Drosophila melanogaster: one gene and its partner. The gene in region 2 interacts genetically with the main gene of each other region. Each region holds a gene or a part of one and is shown on either strand. Other genes may lie near its edges.

Evidence for each region.
Region 1: of Dop1R1 (region 2) and DopEcR, changing one suppresses a phenotype caused by changing the other (phenotypic suppression), as found in Drosophila melanogaster (one study listed by BioGRID).

The regions. Positions count from the first base shown.
Region 1 is NT_037436.4:4,377,076-4,382,038, reverse strand, and holds the start of DopEcR (Dopamine/Ecdysteroid receptor), read left to right. Parts: upstream 1-1,651; 5' UTR 1,652-2,108; intron 2,109-2,439; exon of another isoform or gene 2,440-2,442; 5' UTR 2,443-2,618; intron 2,619-4,039; exon of another isoform or gene 4,040-4,671; intron 4,672-4,963. Other genes in the region: CG32240 (uncharacterized protein), read left to right, coding at 553-653, 712-849, 913-1,111.
Region 2 is NT_033777.3:14,211,515-14,216,821, forward strand, and holds the start of Dop1R1 (dopamine 1-like receptor 1), read right to left. Parts: upstream 3,297-5,307; 5' UTR 2,809-3,296; coding exon 2,476-2,808; intron 1-2,475. Other genes in the region: CG9649 (uncharacterized protein), read right to left, coding at 4,003-4,426, 4,494-5,205. UniProt on the Drosophila melanogaster protein: Receptor for dopamine. The activity of this receptor is mediated by G proteins which activate adenylyl cyclase. Might be involved in the processing of visual information and/or visual learning.

The DNA of each region.
Region 1 (4,963 bases), on a different chromosome or scaffold from region 2:
TGTTCTTTTGACACTGTCAACATTCTCCAACCCCATAATTTATTTGATCACGCTTTTCCGAGGCGATTGTTGACGGAAGCGCACGAATTGCCATTGCAAATTGCAATTGCACCTCGTAGACAAAAGCGAAATTCGCAATGTGGCAAACTTGAATTAGTTAAATGATGATCCCGCCGGGCAATCGATCGTAGAATGTTCGACGATCTTCGACCTTGGCGCCATTTTAAGCCTTAACTTCCAGGTTGTTAAGGATAAGCAGCATAAGCATCTGGCATCGATGCATTGATCATGCTTTCGCATTAATGAGGCAATAATTTAATTGATACTTTTCCAAAGCTACTGCAGCAAATCATTCTTTTGATAAAATGCTTACTATATTATGTATTAAGTCAGCACTGCTTTTCCTCAACACTCAAAGCTCGAATAACATGAGATTTAGTATTATTTTTAAATTTCAAAGAATCAAAACCAACGCATAACACTAGTTAGCTGATTTTCAAAATTTTATCCGGTCTTCAAAAGGTAGCCAGTCGCAGCCAGTCGATCAGGCCAATGATGATGCCTCAATTTGTGTTCTGGAGGAGGGATGCCAAAAAGACCCAGCTGGAGCAGATCTCGCCCATCTGGAGGGATTTGAATGCTACATTTGTGACGTAACACGCAGATAGGATCACTTTTACTTTATGTTACTATATACCATTTTTCATATAGGGTTCTCAGCTGGAGTTGGCTCATCTACGCACTTTCCGCACTGGTAATCATCACTTGTGCATATTTCGCTTATTGTGAGCGCTGCCGAAGAACTGAATCAGTGCGACGACGACGGGTGATTCAAAGAGCTCAAGAGCGGTATAATAGTTATGATTTAAATTTAACAGTTTGTGTTAATTTATCATTTATACACCATTTAAGACCGCCACAAAAGCGACGACCGAATGCGGCCTATCGGGATCACCAGATCTACCGCCACATCATCCTCAGCGTGGCCAAGTACATGAAGAATCCGGATGGTATTCGACCCTTTATAGAACACATGGAGCAGCTATATCCACTCAGGCATAACTTGGCCGATCAGCAGCAGGTGGCCGAACCAAGTGCTGGAGAAGATTAGTGATCAGGGAGGTAAAACCAAAAGATTTGAATCCAAAATTAATAGAATAAATACTGCGAAAATTAAATTTATTTTCATAAGTAGTCTTAAATGCAATGAAGTGCTCTCACTTATTTAATTTCCTATCTACTAATATTATTTCTTTAAAAAATAGCTTAGAGATGAGAACTTGGAGATAATAGATACCAATTGCAAACTAGAGTGGGAGCAACTAGATAAATTAATTAGTTTAACCAGGCTCATGCTTTTGGCCAACTAAAATTGGGTCATGCGCAGTGGGAGATTCTGGTTGGCGGTGCCTAAAAATATGCAGTGCTATTTTTACCTGCCACAAATATAAACAAACGCCATGTGCGTTTGCCGAGCTTTCAGCTGGCGAAAGCTTCGCTTTCTCTCGCTTCCTGTTGCTGCTTTTCCATTTCCATTTCCAGCCGCCCTCTCTCTCAGATCTCTCTCTCCCTCTCTATCGTGCGAGAGAGAGTTCGCCGAGTTGTCGGGGCGTTAGCAGAAGAGAAGAAAAGCGATGGAAAAACGGAAAACAGTTGCCAGTTAGACAGTGAGCGCGTCGCATCTACGCACGCATCGAAAAGATTCAGCGGCAGCAGCAGCAGCGCGTTCAGTGGTTGTTGTTGTTGGAAACGGTGGAAGCACACACACACAGCAGACACAACACCAACACACGCCCGCACACACACACACACACCAACACGCGGCCAGCAAACACACTTTTCGGCTGGCCTTAATTTTCATTGCATACCAATGCCAATCACAATCAAAAATGGAATATTTGAAAATTTGAAAATTCGAATGGCAAAGTGAATTCAATTAAATTGTGCAAATTACGAGCTTGAGGATAATTGAAAAATCAAGGCACACACCTGCGCACATGTGTCTGTGAGAGGGTCCTGTGTGTACTGGTATCTGTGTGAGAACGCCTTTGGCTGTATGTGTGTTGAAGGCTAAGCAGAAAATCAGCAGCCCACGGAAAAGCCAACAAGTAAAGCGAAAAAAATTAATGTTGCATGTGCCCCGAAAATCGGGAAATTGGAAATGGAAATTCAGTTAACCATAGCAAGAAAGTTCGACAGTGCAAAGTGACAAAGTTTGAAAGATATATTATTATCGCGACACCAAAGCCATAAATCGTGCCCCTTATAAATTATCTTATCTGAAAAGAAAATCCATTTAAATCAACACCACCTAATGCATGCATTAAAATATTATTTGATTGATTTATTAGTGAAAAATACACGGGCTGCTTAAAGTTCCTTTGAGGGCCACCGACTTGGTTAGATATATCTTAAGCCCACATTCATCTAGATATTTTACAGTTCTTGCCTGTTGCAGCCAAAGAGTTAGCAAACAAAGTGATAAAGACAAAGTGTTCAAGAAAAAATGTAATAAATACCCATTAAATATTATACAAGAAATCAACTTAATACTCAACCGATCAACTGGAAAAACTGAGCAATGTCAAGGCAAAGGTTCTCAACACGAGCAGTCTCAGGTGAGCAATTTTTCGGTGGCAGGGAGCATCAAGTCGAGCTTTGCTCCAGACGCATCCTACCTCAACACAAAAAAAAAGCGAAGATAGATGGGAAGAAACAGGGAGCGAGAGGGAACGCGAAAGAGCGAACCAAAACATAAACAACCCCGAAAAGAGCGAAACTCTAGAAGTAATGGTCGAAAGGAAAGTGCTGACACTTAAAAAAAAAGAAGAGAACTTTGAGAATTTTTAATTTTTTTTGATAATTTATTTAAGATAACATTAGACGTGTTTTTTTGACAATTACTTGGCTATAATGCACCTTTTTGCGAGTGTCTAATCTATATAGCTGTGTAGTAGACTATGGAGTGAAACAAGCTGTACCGTTAAAAAAAATTTAAATAGTCTAAAGACTTGAAATTTATATTGGGATATTTTTTTCGCAGTGCACTTGAACCTCCACTTCTCCTATCGGAAATGCTGTGCTGTTCTTCTCATATCCCTTATGCTCGGTCCTTCGGTGTTGATGTAGAGATACGAAAATAGGCAAAGTTTAGCACAAAAAAACGAAGAATTTCAGTTGGAAAGCTCAATGCAAAGAATGGCAGCATTCGTTGGGGATTAGCCAAAGCCAAAAGACTTTGTGCAAATACTGAAAAGCTCGGCCTGAGCGCATCATTTTCCACGCAAATTTCGTTTGCGAAAATTTCAATTTATGTGTGGCAAACAGGATTTGCAGTATATGTCTGCATATGTATGTATGTATCTGTAACTCGGTCACACGTTACACGCTTCTCCGTTTTTTTTTTTTCCCCACCATTTTATTGACTTTGTCGTTTTATAGGCAATTTGTCTTCTGGCAGCCGTCGATAGCTTTTGCTGTGTCATAAAATTACGCGCCAAGCGAATGCCCCGTATCCTTATTGGTATCCTTATCCTTATCGGCAAGGACCGGGTTTCGAGCTTGGACTCTTTCGCTGCCAAGTTGTTTATATTGTCGTAAATTTGCCTTCAAGGACGCGACAACACCGCACAGTCTGCCGCCTCCCACCGCCCCCTACCCGCTCACATGGCCATTTTATCGATCACACAATGGGAAATTTCACACGTTGTCCCAAAGGGCTGGAAAATGGGTTTGGAAACGTACAGTGGTCGCTCCTGGCTTTAATTAATTCGAATCACCAGGATATGGATAGACCCACTGCAACAAATTGGGGATATAATTACAGAGAACTGTATCTCCGCGTATAGATCATATAACGTATTAGAAATACATAAGTAAAAAATTACCATTCAATCTATATTTTAGATCTAAGAATCTTAAAGATACAATATCTTATTATTATTGGATACCTACACATTCGCTTTACGCAGAGAACACTGTGGCAACAGACCCGTTGTGTTGAGTTGCGTTTCGTTGCTCGTCTTTAATTACGTGCGCTGCAATTGGCAGCTTCAAGGTCGTTGCCGTCTTTTGCATAATTAAGGGTCACCCACCGCCGCCCAGCGTGCCACCCCCTTCTGACTCATTGGTGCACCCATCGCAAGTGGCTTTTGTTCTTGCAACACAGTTTCAGTTTCTGAATAATGCAATTGACGCGGTCGTGTAGGCGCTGACACAGTTGCCATTTTTCACACATGACCAGCCGGAAAACAGAAACCAGAAACCAGAGACCAGGCACAACTAACAACTGGCACCGTGCGACGTGCAACGTGCGACGAGCAGCATGCAACATTCGCCGCATGTCCGGCAAGCGAGTGCAATTTCCATAGCACACTTCAAGGCTGGCCGCTGTCTAATTTACATGGCAAATGACGCTGCTCTGGCTTTCTCCGCTTTCACTGCTTTCTCCGCTTTGCATTTATGACTCGTGACGTGCAATGGCGATTGTCCGCCAACCATTTTCTTCGCCGTTTTGTGTTTCGACACACGTATTCAATTAGCCCGATAAAGGAAGCAAAATGCCGCAGCTGCTGCTGCCCACACATTTGCATATGAAAGAAAGTCCGGGAAAATTCGAGGGTGCTGATGGTGCTTGTTGGCGGGAAATGTGAGCCGTTTTAGCCATGAAATAAAACGGTACCATCAACATTGGCAGCAAATTTTAATTGGACTCTAATTCGACTTTATCTTCGCAGATAAAATCCTTTTACCCAAAAATGATCTACTTAAAAATATTGCTTTTTGGAATTATATATTTTATTTATTGCTTTACTGTGAAGTATTCAAGTTTAAGTAATTAATATATCTTTTTCCAATCCGGTCTGCAAAGAATTTATTTGCACACATTTATATCTCTTTTGATTTATGACCACAACGTGTCGCGTATATGCCGTGTTTTTTATACATTTTGTGGAAGACACCA
Region 2 (5,307 bases):
ATTAAATCGAAGAAAATAAACAGACCACTGTAGTTTCAAACTTTAATACTTTGGCAACAAAGTTTCTAAGAAAACTTTAAATGTATATGTATGACTTTCTTAATGCAAAGCCATATAAAAATTTTATTTATAAAACAGTTTATTATTGCATGTGTCCGACTTATAATTTAAAATATATATTTTTAAGTCAATCAAAATTGTTGGTACGTTACATTTTTATTGTGAAAATGTTATTCATTATTTTTAGCTTAGTAAAATTATTTTGGTGTCAAATTCGGCCATGTAAACCCCAAAGGAAAATGTTGCAATTAGGCTTAAGGATGTTTTTCAAACAGCGTACTATTTCACTCCAATAAATTGTGGAGTTGCCAAAAGCAAACAATTACAGTTATACCGAATAAGCTCGATTTCAATTGGCCAGCCTATCGATAGCAATCGGGCCACGCCCCTCCCACTTGCTGCCTACTGATTTGGATAAATTGCCGGCGGAAATTTGCGCAAATTCCAGAGGCTCTGGTTCGATTCGGATATATATATATATATAAGAATATATTTGCGTTTGGATAACAAAGGAAGGCGATTTGCTGAATGGAAAGCACAATCCACATGGCAGCGGCAATAACAAATAAGTCTATTAATATTTTAGTATTATTGCTATGCAAAGCCTGCGAACAATGGCAAGCCAAAGTTTTTTCCTTGCGACTAGAAAATGCGGAATCCCATCCAAGAACGCGAAATCACAATGGATTCAAGGAGGTGATGCGGCGGATGGGGATTTGGGGACTATTCATGAAAAGTACGAGCATAAACCCGCTTTTTATGCATGCAGGCAAGATTCGACGAGCGCAAATTAATAATTCAATTAGAATGCACAACGCGGCGTATGCGTGATGCATTATGCAAATGCCAGAGAAAAGAAAAGCGTGCGGAATAACTATGCCCCAAAAGACAATTTTCTGCTGACAGATGATGGGCACAAATGTCAGTGTCAACCTGTGGTTAGTTCACATCAATTGAGACTGGTCTCAAGTTGTCTGGTCTATAAAAAAAACCAAGTGCACTCGGTATAAATGCATAATGTAAATGGAAAAATGTGAACTTTTCATCAGGCAATTAGCTTAAATTGACCCAGTTAGCGTTCGGTAAATCAGGGTAGTAAATACGCCCTCTCAACAGTTTGTAAATTAGTTGAAAACCTATTTACGTGGAAAATGTGCGGCACATGAACATGATGACAACGTGATGCGGCGATAAATGTCCTTGCTCCACCCAACTTACGTGATACTCATTATTTACATTCGATTGAAAGTTAAACGTGCGAACAGATGAGCACAACTTTGCCGTTCCACACAACAAGTATTTAGATCTATATCTATGTCATCCTCGTCTGCGTGCGTTGCCTCATATCCTTTACTGTTGCCACACCAAGCACGTAAATTGCTCGTTCTCCCAAAAAAAAAAGCAAAAAACAAAAAAAAAAAGAGGAGGAGGAAAAATAAAATACACACGAGTGAAAAAAGGGTTAAACTTTGGTTTTGGTATACATCCTTGGCGGAGTTCCTTTGAAAACCGGATTATGCATCGATGGAGGTGTGTACTCGCATCCTAGCAAAAGTTTCTCCATGTGCTGGCTGCTAATGAGGCTCACATTCATTTTCATTTACCAGCTGGTTGGCTAGAAGTGATATAAATTAAAAGGAATGCGAACAGAGAAAACTTTTGCTAACTGCCAACCTTTTGTTATAATTTAAACTTTGTATTAAATATTATGAAGGCGTGCGGGATGTGTGTGATAATCATGTGATAATCACCCATCCTTCCCTCATTGGATAACTTTTTGCACCCCTTTTGTCTTGACAAATCATTAAGCAATCTGCGAGCGGATTGCGTATACGCCCCATAAACCACCGAATCACCTAGAGGAACTCTACTACAATGTTCGGGAAATATGCCAGCACGTAATAAAACTGAAAAGCTCATGAAGGCCAATATCCTACAACACCCGATCGGAGACAAAGACATTGTAAATTATAGTGGCGATATGGATACCTGAGACTACACTGAAAATAAAATCGTGATTCTTCTATGTACATATATAGTTCCTGTGAATAACATCTATTATTTAACACCTTTTATTCATTCCTATTATTGTGGAACTGCAAATTGAATGCCACAAATATTTGATTGCTTGACATGTAATACTATGGTTATTGCAATATCCTTTTTTGTATAGGACATAACATTATTGATTGCACGTTTTTAATAACCAAGCACAATTCTAATAATTCTACTTTTTTCCCCCGTGTTCTGCGCATTTTACGAGCTGCACATTGGACATAAAGCCAAAGCTAAGGCCGCATCCAAAGCCAAAGCCCAATGAATGCCTCGTTGGCAGCCACATAAATACAATCGACCCACTCCGGGCCTCGTTTCCGCCCGGACTCCCCACTTCTCCAGCCCTTTTCCGCAACTCACCGTTGTGCCATCGTAGCCATTTGTCAGCAGTTGGATGTCGATTTCAATGTCCAGGTCCACCTTGGCGGTCGTGAGCTGCAGCGGCAGATGATCGGCGTCCAGCAGCGTGGAATTCGTGGAGAATCCGGTGCTCCCACTGGTGTGATTCCCGCCGATGGTAGTGGCGCTACTGGTGTTGATGATGGTGGTGCTGCTGCTGATGGAACTGGTGGTGCTGGTTGCGACCGTGGCGGCCACTGAACCCACTCCTGCTGCGATTGCAGCAATCGCCCGCATTGCATTTGTCATTGGAACGAGGATGATTAGGAAACCAAATGGGTGTGGTGTGTACATGAATGGATGGTTGGTGGATGGTTGCTTCCTCTTTTCAGCGAGAGATTCTTAGTTGCGGGTACGGCAATAAATTGCCCGACTACGGCAATGCAGCATTCTGCTAATACACTTCTTCGATACTAAATGCGGCAATTGAAGCATGTTCAGACGAACTGAGAAACTCGCTGGGTTTCAGATTCAGGCATCGCGGAGAACGCGACCCAGAGTCATGTCCAGCCATCAATCAGGCGAAATTACAGCATTAAAGTCACTGCTTAAATGATTGATAAATATGCCATATATATAATATATATATGCTTGTGGTATGCACACACTTAACTGACACACGCTTCTCGCACACACACACACACACGTACGCCCGTCAAGAATTCTCGATCGGCACTCGGAATTATGTCCGATTATATGGGTTGGTTGGTGTTATCTGGCACTATCTTTCCAGCGGGCCACCGCTTGACGAACCGTGCGAACTGAAGGCTGAACGTCGACTGTCCGGATACGCACGACTAACGGTATCAGTACGGCGGAGAACGACCAATGCCGTAGAGTATGCAACAACTTTCGAGTTCCGCCGGAGCCGCGAAGTCCATTCAACAGGATATGTCGCTCACTAGGCGGAATATATGCGCTGCGCAGAGCAAGAGAGAGACTTGGAGCAAATAAGCATGAGAGTTAGCTGTATTGAGGGAAAGCACCTGTTGTTCCAACGACGCGTTTTCCCAGCGTTTCACTAGCGACTCCGACGCGACTTTGGCCGCCACCTCTATTTGTTCTCATTACGAAACTGGGAACAACGTTGCGATGTCATTTGGGCTGAGTGAATGCCTCAACTGCATGCAAATGGAATGCAATTGCTGTCTTTGACAAATCGCCGCTGGCAGATCTGCTGGCCGATGCAATCTTTCAATTGAGATACCCTTACATAAAGTGGGGACCACAAGTTTTGTTAGTTTTTTGTACATATGATTTTCTATATGAGTATTTCAGAAATTTATCAAATATAGGCATTTAAAATGTGAACTTAGGTAATTGCTTACTTTAGTGATAAAAACCTCCAAAGCTCCATATAAATACTATTAAAATCAACTTTAACCCCTTTAGTTATGTGTGGATAGGGGTAATGCAACTGTCACTTTTTTAAAAAATTTTGTATCTTTTATTTTGGCACTTAATTCAACTAATCTCTTGTATAACCTATCAAAACCACATGCTACTGAGCAGCCACTCGATGTGCTTGGCCACATCCGTATAGATGACAGGCAGCGTCAGATTGCATCTGTTGGTCATTCGCTGTCCGGCTGAGACGACGCCGCGCAGCATCCAGATGTCCTGCTCCTGGAGCATCAGTCCACCACCGGAATCTCCGCTGCAGGGACCGGACGCCTGGGCATTGCTGGCACAGATCGTGTGCGAGGTGATAAACTTGGCGTTCTCCTCGGACAGATTTCCACGACATTCCCACTGGGTGATGATGTCCGTGTCTGTCATCTTGGCCAGTCGCGTGTTTCGGTTCCCCTTTTCATCCTCACCCCAACCAGCCACATAGGACTTGTGACCCGAGGGCAGTTCGAGCAAAAAGTTCTCGTTCCACAAACAGATGGGCTTGATGTAATCGCCAATACTAAGTGTAGTTACGATTTAAAAGTTAATCAATTTGACAAAATAAATTAATCAATAAATGTACTTACTCAACGTGATTAGACAACTGGAGCAGTGCTAAATCCGCATCGGTGTATACATTGGGATTGTACTGTTCGTGGATTAATAGTCGCGCTACACCTAGTGTAGCTCCCGACGAAAAAAGATCCAAGGAGTTACGCCCCAGCGAAACAATAGTCCGCTCGCCCGGCAAATTCCGACTGCCAAAGCGGAAGCAGTGGGCAGCCGAGATCACTGTTCTGGCCGAGATCAGCGTTCCGCCGCACAAAAAGTTATAGTCCCTGCCAACGTGCTCGAAAAGAGCGGCCATCCAGGGCAGCTGACCCCGCTCCACTTCAATTCCGTTGTGGATAAAGGGTGTCTGGATGACCTTTTCACGCCCACAGATTCCGCTCAGTTGACCAATTGTCTGGGGATAGAACTTGGATGCTTGCGCGGGCGTATTCGACGGATGAACTGAAGGTCTGGCTGACGTCTGGAACTCTGGTTCTTGTGGCAATTGAGGCACGGGTTGCAGCCGTGGTCTTGACGGCGCCTGTTGTGGACGCGGCCTCGAAGGACGCTGTTGTGGGCGGCGTCTTTGAACTGGCTCCTCTTCCTCCTCCTCCTCATATACAGTGTAGTTGGTCTGAGGGGCCTGGGGCCATTGGTGATCAGTCCGCTGAGACGGCGGTATAGCTGCCAAAGGCACAGAAGTTCGCAGAGTTCGCGACAAAGATAGCCTTGTGCTAGGAGCTCCAACTGCAAGAGCATTAAAAATGTATATTAATAAAAGCAAAAATCAGTTGAGTAAATTATTCTAATTACATGCATACATAATACAACTTGGCATCTTTCCTCCTA